3 linked regions of the Callithrix jacchus genome follow. The protein of the gene in region 1 purifies or fractionates together with the protein of each later gene. This does not show direct contact. Links are inferred from orthologs where the notes say so. Each region holds a gene or a part of one and is shown on either strand. Other genes may lie near its edges.

What was found. Proteins that work in one complex are often made in the same cells at the same time.
Region 2: the proteins of STK11 (region 1) and PIP4K2A purify together in Homo sapiens (affinity purification with mass spectrometry; 3 studies listed by BioGRID and IntAct, counting the BioPlex papers as one, with this or other methods). This does not show direct contact. The link is inferred for Callithrix jacchus from reciprocal best matches to the Homo sapiens genes STK11 and PIP4K2A.
Region 3: the proteins of STK11 (region 1) and FKBP5 purify together in Homo sapiens (affinity purification with mass spectrometry; 8 studies listed by BioGRID and IntAct, counting the BioPlex papers as one, with this or other methods). This does not show direct contact. The link is inferred for Callithrix jacchus from reciprocal best matches to the Homo sapiens genes STK11 and FKBP5.

The regions. Positions count from the first base shown.
Region 1 is NC_133523.1:1,148,227-1,152,347, forward strand, and holds part of STK11 (serine/threonine-protein kinase STK11), read left to right. Parts: intron 1-165; coding exon 166-298; intron 299-370; coding exon 371-507; intron 508-971; coding exon 972-1,099; intron 1,100-1,634; coding exon 1,635-1,692; intron 1,693-2,618; coding exon 2,619-2,806; intron 2,807-3,199; exon of another isoform or gene 3,200-4,121. UniProt on the Homo sapiens protein: Tumor suppressor serine/threonine-protein kinase that controls the activity of AMP-activated protein kinase (AMPK) family members, thereby playing a role in various processes such as cell metabolism, cell polarity, apoptosis and DNA damage response.
Region 2 is NC_133508.1:23,217,283-23,222,089, forward strand, and holds the start of PIP4K2A (phosphatidylinositol 5-phosphate 4-kinase type-2 alpha), read right to left. Parts: upstream 3,093-4,807; 5' UTR 2,822-3,092; coding exon 2,678-2,821; exon of another isoform or gene 2,351-2,677; intron 1,769-2,350; exon of another isoform or gene 1,538-1,768; intron 1-1,537. UniProt on the Homo sapiens protein: Catalyzes the phosphorylation of phosphatidylinositol 5-phosphate (PtdIns5P) on the fourth hydroxyl of the myo-inositol ring, to form phosphatidylinositol 4,5-bisphosphate (PtdIns(4,5)P2). Has both ATP- and GTP-dependent kinase activities.
Region 3 is NC_133505.1:44,021,854-44,026,738, reverse strand, and holds the start of FKBP5 (peptidyl-prolyl cis-trans isomerase FKBP5), read left to right. Parts: upstream 1-1,793; 5' UTR 1,794-2,063; intron 2,064-4,885. UniProt on the Homo sapiens protein: Immunophilin protein with PPIase and co-chaperone activities. Component of unligated steroid receptors heterocomplexes through interaction with heat-shock protein 90 (HSP90).

The DNA of each region.
Region 1 (4,121 bases):
GCTCCCTGCTGGACCCAACCTTTCCGCTGTCCGGTGTGCCTGGACCCTGTGACTCCCCAGCTGTGCCTGTGGTGTTTGGGAGGCTCCCAGGTGGCTGCAGAGGAGAGCCTGTGATGGGCGGGGTGGCCTCGGCCCTGAGACAGGTGTGTGCTGTGCTGCCCGCAGGTACTTCTGCCAGCTGATCGACGGCCTGGAGTACCTGCACAGCCAGGGCATCGTGCACAAAGACATCAAGCCGGGGAACCTACTGCTGACCACCGGCGGCACCCTCAAGATCTCCGACCTGGGCGTAGCTGAGGTAGGCACGCGCTGGGGGGCCCTGGGGCGCCCCGTCCCGGCACTCTCTGAGGGCTGCGCGGCATCTCCACAGGCACTGCACCCGTTTGCGGCAGATGACACCTGCCGGACAAGCCAGGGCTCCCCAGCGTTCCAGCCCCCCGAGATTGCCAACGGCCTGGACACCTTCTCAGGCTTCAAGGTGGACATCTGGTCAGCTGGGGTCACCCTGTAAGTGCCCCGGCTGTCCCAGCACTCACCATACACACAGCTTGGAGGGGCCTCTGTGTCTTGGGTAGGCACAGGGCATGGCCATCAGCCCAGTCCCTTGCTGGCCACAGCCGCTGGGGGGTGCTTACCTGAGGTGTGACTCCCAGAGCACATGGTATTTCACCGTGGGAGGTGCGGCCTGGCATGTCGGGTGTCTTCACAGTGGCACAGCCCACCCTCACTCCCAGAGCCCCACAGGGAAGCCAGGTGGGTGAGATTGGCTCCAAGCCCCTACCCCAGGTGGGTCCAGAGGACACCCCCCTCCTGCCCCGCGGCCTCTGCTAGTGGGAGGGGGTGACGACAGAGGTGTCCCTGAGCTCGCACGGCCTGCGCTCCAGCGGCCACACGAGGGCTGCAGAGCTGGGACTCCCAGGGCATCGACCACCGTGGCTGACCACGCCCCCTTCCTTCTCCTTGAAATGAAGCTACAACATCACCACGGGCCTGTACCCCTTCGAGGGGGACAACATCTATAAGCTGTTCGAGAACATTGGGAAGGGGAGCTACGCGATCCCAGGCGACTGTGGCCCCCCGCTCTCCGACCTGCTGAAAGGTGGGAGCCTCATCCCTGTGCCCACAGCCCCTCCACAGGGAGGAGGGGGTTTTGTGCAGAAATGCAGGCTGGGGGTGTCAGGTGGGTGGCTGCTGGCCCTAGGGACCCTAGCAGGGCATTGAGAGGACTGACTGGAGAGGGCGGCCTCCCCAAAGGTCCTCCCCGGCCCTCCCCGCCGCCGCCATTACTCAACTCCACCCTTTCTTCTGGGCCTTGTGTTCCCCCTTTGTACTCCCACCCTTGAAGGTAGCGCTGCCCTGCTCTTCCCCCCCCCCGCCCGGGCCTCTGAGCTCCCTGGCCTGCAGGGTCTGCCAGGCTCACGCTGCTGCACATCTGCGAGTGGCAGCAGGTGGCACTGGTCGCCCATCCACCATGCAGTGATGTCCCCTGGAGTGGCCTCTGTCAGGGAGGCCGCCCTTGGGAGCATCCAGGCGTCACCCAGGGCTTGACAGCAGAGGCTGGGCAGGTGGGGAAGGTTGGTGGGGTCTCAGTCCTGTGCCTGGCGCTGCCCGGCTCCTCACCTGCCTCTCCTCAGGGATGCTTGAGTATGAGCCGGCCAAGAGGTTCTCCATACGGCAGATCCGGCAGCACAGGTGAGTGGGGCCAAGGCCACAGGGAAGCCGGCCATGGGGGCAGCTGCTTGAGTGGGGGCCGGAGCAGGGGGCGTGGTGGGGGATGTGGTGGGAGTGCCGGTCTGGGTCTAGGGCAGGATCACGTACAGTGCTCACAATTCTCGGGGCCTGAGGGGGGTCTCTGGGCAGCGCCCCCTTGCTGGCCAGACAGGCTTTGTCTGTGCTGGGGTCTGAGTGAGGTCATGTGTCCATCCCTGCTCCAGGCCTGGCATTGGGCCAGGAAAGGCACGGCTGGCCCGGGCACTTGGAGGGTCTTCCTTTTCCTTCCTCACTGGGATCCAGCCCAGGGCCCCCAGCTCCACCACAGGGAAGACAAGGCAGTGGGTGGGGTCAGCAGGCCCTGCAGTGCCACCTCCCTCACCTCCTGGGCCAGCCCCTGGGCGGGGGGTCCTTGAACCTTCTGCTAAAGCCCTCAGAGTTCCTCAGCTGTCCAACAAGGCCTGAGTGGGAGTGTTTGGACCCCTGAGGCGCTGGTGCTGATTGTGCCTGGGGCATCTTTGGGCAGCTTGGGGCAGCTGGGAGCCTGGTGGGGGCTGGGGCTGCCCTCCGATAGCCTCCTGGGCTGGATGTGCACGTGGCCTCCCTTCTGGCCTTTGCTGACCTGCATCTGGGGGGTGCCCTGGCTTCTGAATGCCACCTGGGAGACAGATCTGAGGCTGAAACGGGGCATGGGGGTCAGGCCTTGGGGTGGAGGAGACGTGTCAGGTTTGGAGTGAGGTCAGAGCTGTAGGGCCCTGGCAGCCTGGCTGCTCCAGGAGGGCATAGCTGAGCTGCTGTGGTCACGGCCACCCCTCGCATTGCCTGGTCCCAGCTCCGAGGAGCGGGGTTGGGCAGCTGGACTGCCCTGTGCCGGCCTGATAGGTGCCACTGCTTCTGGGCATTTGCAGCTGGTTCCGGAAGAAACACCCACCAGCTGAAGCACCGGTGCCCATCCCGCCAAGCCCGGACACCAAGGACCGGTGGCGCAGCATGACTGTGGTGCCCTACCTGGAAGACCTGCACGGTGCCGACGAGGACGAGGACCTCTTCGATATCGAGGACGACATCATCTACACTCAGGACCTCACGGTGCCCGGTGAGTCCCGCTGGAGCAGGGCGCCTGCCTGTCTGTGGTGAGGGCAGCTTCTGCCCTCTGGTGGCCAATCCATGTCCCCAAAGCCTCCAGCCCACCTGCAGGCCGCCTCCGCCCTGGGCTGCTGTGACATGGCTGAAAGTGTGGGGGTGGCAGGGGCACCGGCCAAGGCCTATCTGGCCGGGAGGGTTCCTCAGGCTCCTCCCCTGGTGCTGCCCAGCCAGGCACCGCCCATCGGCCTCGGCCTGAGTTCCAGCAGGAGCAGGCGGGGGAGGCCTGTGGTCGGGGGAGGGTGGGTCAGAGTCAGGGTGCAGGGTGGCCCCTCAGCTGGCACAAGAGAGGGTCCAGTGGCCCTCCCTCCCGCTGGGCCTGACGCTGGCCACCCTTCTTCCCCAGGTGGCGAGGAGGCGCCTGAGGCAGGGCTTAGAGCGGAGTGCGGCTTGCAGAAGAGCGAGGGCTCAGACCTTTCAGGAGAGGATACCTCGAGGCCGGCGCTGCAGTCGTGCCCGAGGAGGAGCTCAGGGCCTTAGCACGGGCGGCTGCACTGGCAGCCGGCCCCTCCCTGCCAGGCTCCCGGCTCAGCTCTGTGCTGTGCAGGGCTGGGCTGGATCATAAAGCGCTTTGCATGTATCTGCAGGTGGATGTTGCTGTGCCTGGGCTGGAGTGTGGGGGGCTTTATCTTTTACTATTGCAGCAGGAAGTGGTGGGCAGGGTCCGGCCTGAGAAGGCGAGTGTGCCAGGAAGGTTAGGATGTGAGGACCCAGTGCACAGGAGCTCACTCACCTCCTTCAGTGAGCCCCGGTGTCTGCCTTCCCACGTAGAGATCCTTACCCTGCAGAGAGCCCATTAGGTCCTACAGCATCCCGGGGCCCCTCAGCAAACCCCTAGGCTCAGCTCAGGAGCTACTCCTGGGAGGGCGAAGTGTGCAGGGGGGCCTGGGAGGGCACAGCGTGTAGGGGCCCCGGCGGCACAGGATTTTGCCTCCTGGGCTCTTGTAGCTCCAGTACCACGGTTGCTGTGTCTGTTGGGATGGGAGGTGCTGCTGGGCACCCTGGTCACCTGATGTCCTGGGAGGTGGGGTCCCCTCATGATGCCCATCCATGGGCCTGGGTGCAATTTGACCTTTCAGAGCACTGGGGCCCTGAGACTGGCAGTCAGGTGATGCCGGGCAGGACCCGGCTGCCAGAACCCCACTGGGACGTGGGCCACATGCTGACCCTGTGGCCGCTCCTGCAGGCCAGGACCCAGCACTAGCTCCCCCCCACCTCCCCGGGGAGACTTAGGCCTGTGGGAGATCTGGGCTGCCCTGGGGCAAGGT
Region 2 (4,807 bases), on another chromosome or scaffold:
TCCACGAATCCTTTATACGAGGTGCACACTGTGCACCTCGTAGACTGAAAATACAGTAGAATCTTGAGTTAGAAAACCTGGAAATCATCCGAACAGCCCTAGTTCACAGGTGCGAACACTGATGCAAAAACCTGACCTTAACATGCCCAAGGTCAACAATTAGACTTTAAGAAAGATTTAAAGCGCCGATCCAATGAGCGTTTTACCACAGTATGTGGAAGGGGCTCATAAACAACACCATGTTCAGACTGTTGACGCATTTATTACCCGATTATACTAAAAACTTTGGTGCACAGAAGGTCATATAAAACATTTATCTAATATCAGACATTGTCACCTAAAATGAAATCAAACCAGAAATACATGGCATCTAAGTGTTTAGATTTCATGTTTATATTACACATCCATTCTTTTTTCAAAAATAACATAGTAAATGGACATTTTGAAAAACAAGGCTGCGAAAGAGACCTTTCTTATGTCAACTCAGAGTCCTCAAAATAAAGATATTTGGACAAAAATATTACAGGTGTTTTAGCAATCCTTCCCAAAGTAGATTACACTGTATGTACCCAATGTATCTGTTGAATGAATAACATGCTCACATTGATATACATGAAATGGAAACTCCACTCCTCTGGTTGTGGATACTTAAAACTGCAAACTTTTCTTCAGAGCAAAAGAAAGTAACCCCAAATATACTATTTACAAGTCATACACTATGAAACAAGTAGTTTCAAAATATTTCCATTTAGCAAGAAACTCTAAAACAAATGTAGCAATTCATCACTATAAGGTGGCAACGTAAGTGGTTACAATAAAACATGAAGGATTACAAGATTTTCTAAGGCAAACCGGAATTCAGACGAGTTCCCAGAAAGCACACTCTTTTTAGGCAGCATATTGTTGACACTATCTTACTAAATTAAACCCCGAGACAGAAACACTCTCCATACCAAAACACCAGAACTCCAAAGGAGATAAAGGCACCATAAATGAGTAAGCACTACAGTATTCGTCCTTTTTTAAAAAAAATTAGTAAGTTTCTATTCTAGTAATAAGGGACCAAAAACTAATAACACAAATAATAAAAGAGCTTACCAAAATTATATGTAACTGCATTGTAAACTTATCACATAGGAAAAACAGCGTTTCATTTTCTGTAATAAAACTTGGGAGAGGAGTTTTTGGTGCCGTAATGCATGCTCTTCTAAGAACCTGCACTCCCAAACAGCTAAAGAAGTTGTCGGGAAGTTAAAATAAACTTCAATCAGTCATTAAGCTGGATAAAAATAATCATTTCTCAACTTTTTCAAAAACACTCCATGCAAACACGATCGATCCTGATACTGTTTCGCCCTTCCCCCTGCTCGACTTGGGGAAGAAAAAACGATGCTTTTGAGGCATTTTAAACAACCTCACTACGTTGAAAGTGTGTTCTTTTTTAAAAAAAAACCAACAAGGTTTTCTGTCATTTCCATTACGCTGAAAAGGACATACAGACAGTCACCGAAATCAAAAGCAGGGGAAGCGGACTTACTTTTCCCAGATGCTAAGTGACTGCAGTGGCTAAGGTCATGGTCAAAATTCACAGGCTCATTTAAACTTTCCTGGCTGAGCCAACAGCTCCGATCATGTTTCCAGATCCTATCTAACTGGATTAAAACTGCAGGAGTTTCTCGCTGTCAGATCAGCAGGAGGCTATTTCAGACCCTCGAACCGCAGTCCGCATAGCCCGCAGCAGCGCATCCTCCAACCCCCGACTGTGAGTGACGCTAACCTTTCCACGCGTTCTCCTCCAGCATTTCCCGTCCCCCCACCACAGCGGGTGCGGCCAACTCGGGACCCCCTCCGCCCGCGCCCGCCGGGACCCCTGCCTGCCGTCTCCACCCCGGCCACCCTTCCGCAGTCGGTGACTTCTGCCCGGCTCCCCAAAGTGGGGGTAGGCGACGAGGGGAGGAAGACTCCCCGCCAAGGGCTCTCCACCCCGCACAGCGGCAGGGCGATGCGGGAGAGGCGCAGGGATGTCGCCCGACGCCAGAGCCATATTTACATCTGCTGCTGCTTTGCCAAAAAGCCGAATTATGCCCAATAATATTGCCTTTAAAGGAAAAGGAAAGGACCTAAGCAGTAAAGCTGCTGCCCCAAATCTGCTCGCTCTCCAGTATCCTCGCCCCAGTGCCCCCGTGGGAGGCTCGTCCGCGCCCAGCCCGGGACAGGTACACCCGCCAGCCGGCGGAGGACGCGGGCGCCACGCCGCCCCCACATTGGGCAGCGGTCGCCGAGACTCGGCCCCCAGCAGCCCCCGCCGGGGCTGACAGCCGAAGCGGTGCCGTGCCCCGCACAAACTTACCACTTTCCAGGCTGCGGGGACAGACCCGTGGGCAGGCGGGCGAACGGGGGGCGGCACGGGCACCAGCACCAGCCGTGAGACTCACATGCACACGGGACCCCAGTCCCGCAGGCGGCTCTAGGTCTAAATCCGGCGCAAATGGTGCCCGGGCGGCCCGGAGGGCTTAGGGGCGCGCGCCGCGGGGCCAGGGGCTCCGAGGCGGGCGAGCAGCCGGAGGGCCAGGGCAGGCTGGGGCTCCCCGCCCCGCAGCCGCTGCAGCCGGAGGAGGAGGGGAGCGAGGAGGAAGAAGAGGAGGAAGGGGACCGCGCGCCGCAGCCGAGCCCTTACCGAGTGGTTTACCCCCCACATCAGGACGCTGAGCAGCGGGTCGCTGGCCCGAAACAGCTTCACTTTCTGCGCTACGAAGTGCTTCTTCTTGGTCTTGGTTTTGCTCGCCAGGACCGAGGACCCTAGGTTGCCGGGGGTCGCCATGGCCTCCTCCTCAGTCCCCTCCACCGCCGCGCTCCCGAGGCCGGGGACCCGCCCTCTCTACACCCCGGCCCGGGAAGGTAGCCGCATCCCCCCGGTGGCGGCCCCGGCGCGCCGTGCTCCGCTCCGCCTGCCGCCGCCGCTGGCGCGCTCGGCCCCGCTCGGCTCGCTCCGCCCGCTCGGCCCGGCAGGCTGCGCTCGGCTCGCGCCCCGGCCCGGATCCCGCGCCCGCCGCGGCTCCGCGCTCAGCCCGCGGCTGGACCCGGCGCACCGCGAGCGGCTTCCGCGTTGGGCGCCGGCGTCATGACGCAGGGGGCGGGAGGGCGGGAGGCGACCGCTGCGCCGCGGGCGGGGCGCCGGGCGCTGGGCGCGGGGCGCGGCCACCGGACCGTTAGGCTGAGCCCTCCCGCCCCGGCTTCGCTGCGGCCGGGCAGTCCCCTGTGCCCGGGCGAGCTCGGGACGTTCGCTCCCGGCCCGCGGAAGAGGCCGCGGGGTGCGCGCGGAGAGCCTGGGGACCCGGCCTGGCGTCCCCTGCGGCTCCCCGAGGAGAGGGGACAGGGTGGGCAGAGCGGGGAGGTTGGGGAGAGGAGTCCCTAGGCGTCGATCAGGCGAAGGAGGGAAGCTCAGGGACCTGTGCTCGCCCACTCCGCGAGTCGGGAGACCCAGCGAGGTGCGAAATGCTGCAGGGAGACCAGGGCTTCCCAGCACCGAGGGGAAGGACCTGGGCACGTTTCTGGTCAGTCCCTGAGATGAACTTAATACCTTTGTGCCGTTCACCATGGGGCCTTTCACACCCTCGATATGGGCCTCCTGGAGTCATTCAAGAGGGAGACTCCCACCTAATAGTGTGGACCCACTCCGTGCCCGGGGCAGGACCCTGGGATCCTCATCTAGAGCCCTTGGCTTAACCAGGAGAATCATGCCCCAAAGTGCATCTTCTACTTGGAATCCATCACCATGGTCCTTGCCATCCCTGCCTGTTTTCCAGCGCATTCACCTTCTTCCATGGAAATCTGTTCACTGTCTTCCTCCAGATACACCTAAATGTAGCCCTTTATTATGATGAGAATACCTGGCTTACTTCAGGAAGCTGCCATTCCAAGTATGTCTAAAACCCTGCTGCCCCCATGTCATCCCGGCAGTCTTCATTCTGTACAATGTATTTACTCTGACCCAGCCCACCAGTCCTCACTGAACAGGTTCTTGGAAACTATCGCCTTAAGCAAAACAACATATCACAAAACCAAATTCGTCATAAGCTAACATTTAAAAAAAGAATTAAGTTCCTACAGCAATTATATCTGGTCACAAAAACATCATCAAACTTCAAAGTAAAGACTCAAAACACTTCTAATATTAAACATTGAAATAAATGTAAGCTATGCCGCCTTTTTAATTTTTTTCCCCCTTGAGATAGGGTATATCGCTTTGTCTCCCAGGCTGCCGGTGCAGTGGTGCAATCACAGTCCGCTGCAGGCTCTACTTCCTCGGGCTCAGGTGATTCTTCCACCTCAGCCTCCCCAGTAGTTGAGACTACAGGCATGAACCTGACCAAGTTCTATTTGGTAGAGATAGGGTTTTACCATGCTGCCCAGGCTAGTCTTGAACTCCCCTGCTCAAGGGATCTGCCCACCTCAGCCTTTCAAAGTGCTGAGAATACAGACGCCAGCCACTGCACCCGGCTCACCTACATTTTTTAAAGATTGATAAAAGCAAGATAATGCGTTGCCAAATTTCTGGTGAATCAGTGAGTAATGGTTACTGTGGTGCTGCGTTAAATCAAGAAATAAGCGTTTGCAAAGCAAAAAGTTGTCAGGAGAACCTGCTGCTACCATGAGATTAAAAAACTATCACAAATATGGTAGCTGAGTGCTCTCCTATCTCATTTATTGTCATACATTTTTATGATTATTGTACACTTACATCTTTTTATTTTACAGTCATTTGTTTCATGGATTCATTCATTTTTCCAACTCATTTATTCCAGTT
Region 3 (4,885 bases), on another chromosome or scaffold:
TTTCACCATGTTGGCCAAGCTGGTCTTGAACCCTGACCTCAAATGATTCACCTGCCTCAGCCTTTCAAAGTACTGGGATTACAGGTGTGAGCCACCACGCCTGGCCTCTGGCTTTCAAGAAATTTATATCCTTGGCAGTTGGGAGGGGAACAGGCCATAAAAAAGCAAACAGAAAAAATAAGTAAGGAAATTTCAGATCACGATATGTACAAAGAAGAAAATGAAACAGGGATGCAATTGAGTGTGATGGGGGTCTGTTGGGTAGTCAGGGAAGGCTGCTCGGAGGAAGGTTATGTTTGAGCTAAGACCTGGAGGACGAGAATAAACCAGTCACGTGAACATCTGGAAGCTGAGGGTTTCAGGCACAGGAAACAGCACAGCACATGCAAAGGCCTCAAGGCATGAAGGAGCTTTGTGTTTTCTAGGTTTAGAAAAAAGGCTGGGTTCAAATACACTACTCTCCAGTAATCCTCGGCAAGGATTATTGTACCCATTTTTTAGAGATGGAAATTGAGACTTGTCAGGATGGTTAGTTTCTTGGTCAAAATCACAACTGGGAGTACAAATTTTGAATGTAAAGCCACTATTTTGGGGTTATTTTGGTGTTTGTATGTATATATACGTGTGTTTTTTTAAACAAAATCATCAAGTTCAGCAACCATGTGTCCTAAATTATCTAGGATGGTCAAATTTCTTTTTACTTTTTTTTTGAGACCAAGTCTCGCTCTGTCACCGAGGCCGGAGTGCAATGGTGCGATCTCAGCTCACTGCTTCCTCCTACGCCTCCTGGGTTTAAGCGATTCTCCTGTCACAGCCTCCCGAGTAGTTGGGATTACAGGCACCTACCACCACGCCCAGCTAATTTTTGTATTTTTAGTAGGGACAGGGTTTTGCCATGTTAGTCAAGCTGGTCTCCAACTCCTGACCTCAGGGGAATCTGCCCACCTCAGCCTCCCAAAGTGCTGGGATTACAGGCATGAGCCACCGTGCCTGGCCCAGATATCAAATTTCTAAAATTCTTTTTTTTTTTTTTTTCTGTTTTTGATAGAGTCTTGCTCTGTTGCCCAGGCTAGAGTACAGTGGCATGATTTCGGCTCACTGCAACCTCCACCTTCTGGGTTCAAGCAATTTTCCTGCCTCAGCCTCCCAAGTAGCTGAGAGTACAGGTGCCTGCCACCACACCTGGCTAATTTTTGTATTTTTAGTAGAGACAGGGTTTCAACATGTTGGCTATGCTGGTCTCGAACTCCTGACCTCAGGTGATCCACCCGCCTCGGCCTCCCAAAGTGCTGGGATTACAGGAAGGAGCCAGCATGCCTGGCCCTAAAATTCTTATTGTCTCCTGGACAGTCATCTTGGACATGCTCTGTGTTCTATATCATGACTTCAAGCCTTGTCTTTGTCAGGTACTGCCAGTGAGATCCTAGACTAGCACTTCACCACTTTAAGCCTCAGTTTCCTCCTTTATAAATAGGGAGGAATTGTAATCATTCCACTATCACAGGTTTGCTGGGAGGATTAAATGAGAACATCCACATCAGAGTCAGCACAGTGCCTGGAACGGGGTACCTGTGAAATGAATGGTGATTCTTCTTTATTGTTACCTTGGAAAATGGAGGCCAACTGCAGGATGATCCTGGCTCCAAGGAGCCGGGGACCCAAGACAAGCATACAGAAAGAGAGACCAACAATTGGAGGCCTCTGATGCATAAGACAGGCAGGGGAGTGGTGGGAGGAGAGAGCAAGACTGAGCAGCCAGGAGGGCCTCTTCCCTTCCCTTTACTCAGCCTCTCACTCCTCTGCTAGGATCCCATATTGACACATCTTGTACTTCCCGTTTCCAGGGAAATTCCTCGCTGCCGGACTGCACCCACCCCTGAGGACCTCCCAATATCTTTGGGCAGAGCAGAAGCCAGACAGAGACAAGGACTACCAAGCAACCATCTCCAGCCCCGTGTGTGCAAGGAGCCCTGAGGGGCAGGCGGCCACGCTGCAGAAGACTAGCCTCTCCAACCCCAGGGAGCCTGGCGTGGGCTGCAGGAACAGAACGCTTCTCAGAGGAGGTAGGGACCCCATGGAGTACGTGACGTGACGCCTGGCCCTCCAGCTGCATGCTCCAGTTAGCAGGACAGAGACCCCTCCCCACACATTCCCAGCCTTCCCTGGTTTCCTGCTCTGCTACTGGGAGGCCCTGTCACCACACATGCGCGTGCATGCGCTAACACATACACCCCTCCCAGGCACCCCCGGAAGACCAGCTGCAGCTGGGGGTGGGGGGGGGTGCACTGAGCACAGCCAGGGTTCTCAGATCCCTAGCCTGCTCTCCCACCCCACCCTAGCCCCCAATTGCCGAGCTGCTTCTAGGTTTAAAGCAAAACACGACTCTGTCCTTCCTGCTGCTCAGTGGCAGCAACACTGCCTGGAGTTATTTTTAGCAGGGATGCAGGGAAGGCACAGTTCTCCTTGACTTTAACTAGGGACAACCCCCACCCCCCAGCCAAGACTCACTGGAGGAGGCCAGTACGGAAACTCCCCTCCCAGAAAGGGGAAATGGTGTGTTTTCTGTTCCTTCAATTCACTAGAATGGGAATCGTGGTCAAGCCTGGTGTTGAACTGATGGGAAATTCTAGGTTCCAAAGCCCATGGGCTCTGCCCCATCCTTGGCCTCTATGTTTCCATGAATCCGGGAAGCGAGAGGCACATGGTGTCTGGAGTTGAGGTGCCCTGTCTGTGGGTGCTGGGGTCCCTGGGAAACTGCTTGGTTATATCCAAGCTCTGTGGATTACACAGGGGCACCAGGTATCGTGGGTGGTGTTTCACAGGCGCTGGCTAAATAATTCATTAAACTGAACATGTATGTTTCATGTACTTTTCCATATGTGTATCTTTTAGATGCTAGCAGTACTTTATGAGGTATAATCAACATACATTCCACATACAGTAAAATGCATAAATCTTAAGTGTACAGCTTGATGAATTTTGACAAATATATATGCCTATGTAACCATCACCTAGATCAAGATTTCAGACATTTTCACTACCTCCAAATGCCTTTGTGTCCCCTTCCAGTCAGTCTCCGCCCCAGAGGCAACTGATTCCGACTTCTACCACCATAGATCGTGTGTGTGTTTCACAAAGTTAAAGAAATACAGCTGCTGTCACGGAAGAGGGAAATGAGCAATAAAGTTCTTAACATGAAAGGAGGGGGCCTCAAAAAAAGGGGTTATTGCAACTGGAAAAATGAAGGTATCATTGGCCTGGGAAACAGGAGGTTTCAGAGCCAGCCCAACCCCTCAGGGTTGGGACCAGAAGGCTTGGGACACTTCTTGAAGCAGAGAAGCTGTGAGTGGGGAGGGAGCAAGGGGAGGGCCAGTCTTGGCTCAGGCCTAGCTGCCTCTGGGTCTGCTAGAGGTCCCTGCCCCTCCTCCAGGCCCTGACCACTGCACAGTTTCAGCAAGGCCAAGGCTGCAAGGAAAGGTTCTCTCAGGGGCATCCACCCAGAGGCAGAGTTTAGGGCCCCCATGTAGTTAAGTTATTTGTTTTCCTTGACTTCCTTTTCAAGGTCTGGGACTCCTGCATCCTTTGTCCTGCCTGGGGCGGGGAGAGGCTGAGGCTGTCAAAGCAGAGTGCTAAGGAAGAGTCATGATGCTTTTCATTCTTTCCTTCCTTTCTTCATTCAAAAACAGTTATTTGAGCACCCGTGTAGTGCTATAGATTCTGCCGGGTGCTGGGCATAGGAGAATAAGCCACATTTTAGCTTAGAGAGTCAGAGTTGGCATTTCTAGGTAGAAGCAAGGCCTTATACCTCCTTCATATTGGAGATGAGGGGCCCAGAGAGGGGAAGTGACTTATTAGAATCACACAGCTAGCTGCTGGCAGAGGAAGGCCAAGAACAAGGATCGATCCCTGATTGAGACTTAGCTGGGGATAAGAAAGCAAAGGAAACCAAACCAACAGCTGACTCCCTGGTGTGCTCTCCTGTAAGCTTTCTAGGGTAACAAAAAGCACTGACCTGGAGTGAGAGGACCTCAAGGCTACTGCTAGGTCTTAGAAACACTTCCTCTCTCTGGGCCTCAGCTTTATTCCATGAACATGCAGGAGGCAGCTTCTGGAGCACACCCTCCATTTTCCCGCCTCTGTGCCTTTGCTCGGGTTGTTTCTGCCGCCTAGAATGCCCCCTTTCCCCTCCTACTTCCTTCCTCTGACATTCTCCTAATCATTTATGACCTAATTCAAATGCTGTCCCCAGAGGCCCCGCAGTCCTTGGGCATCTGGAGAGTGGTGTCACCCAGGTCCCCACTACCAGAACAGACAGAGCCTCCTCCATTTTGCAATCCTCCCATCCTAGGGCACAGCTTTCCTTGGATATGGGGTCTGTTTTGTCAGCCACTGTTGGAGGAATTGAAGGGATTTCTTAGTCCCACCCTACACTTCCACATGCCCCCTTAGCTTTCAGAGACTGATGTCGTCCTTCCACTGGGCCTTGAAGACATTGTGCTTTCTGCTGGCCATGCCAGCCCAGGCCAGAGCATCAAACCTGGGCACTTCTGGCCAAGGTGGCTGCCCTGGGAGGTGACCCCAGGAAGGATGAGAAGGCGGGGCCTCAGCCAGAAGCATGGCTGCCCCACCTCAGTCATCCAGTCATCATTCACAAACACCCCGGCAGAAATCCTCCCTCACAACAGACACGTGGCTCCTGCTCCCACAACCATATCCAAACCCACTCCTACCTACCTGCCCACAGCAGCAAGTTTGCAAAGATGTACCCCACTGCTCCCACAGCTCCCCTGCCCCTCCCCTGGGTGGGCATTGCCATGAGTGCACATTCATCTCACATACACACAGGGCACACACAGACATGCGTAATGGGCAACACAGATGTGGA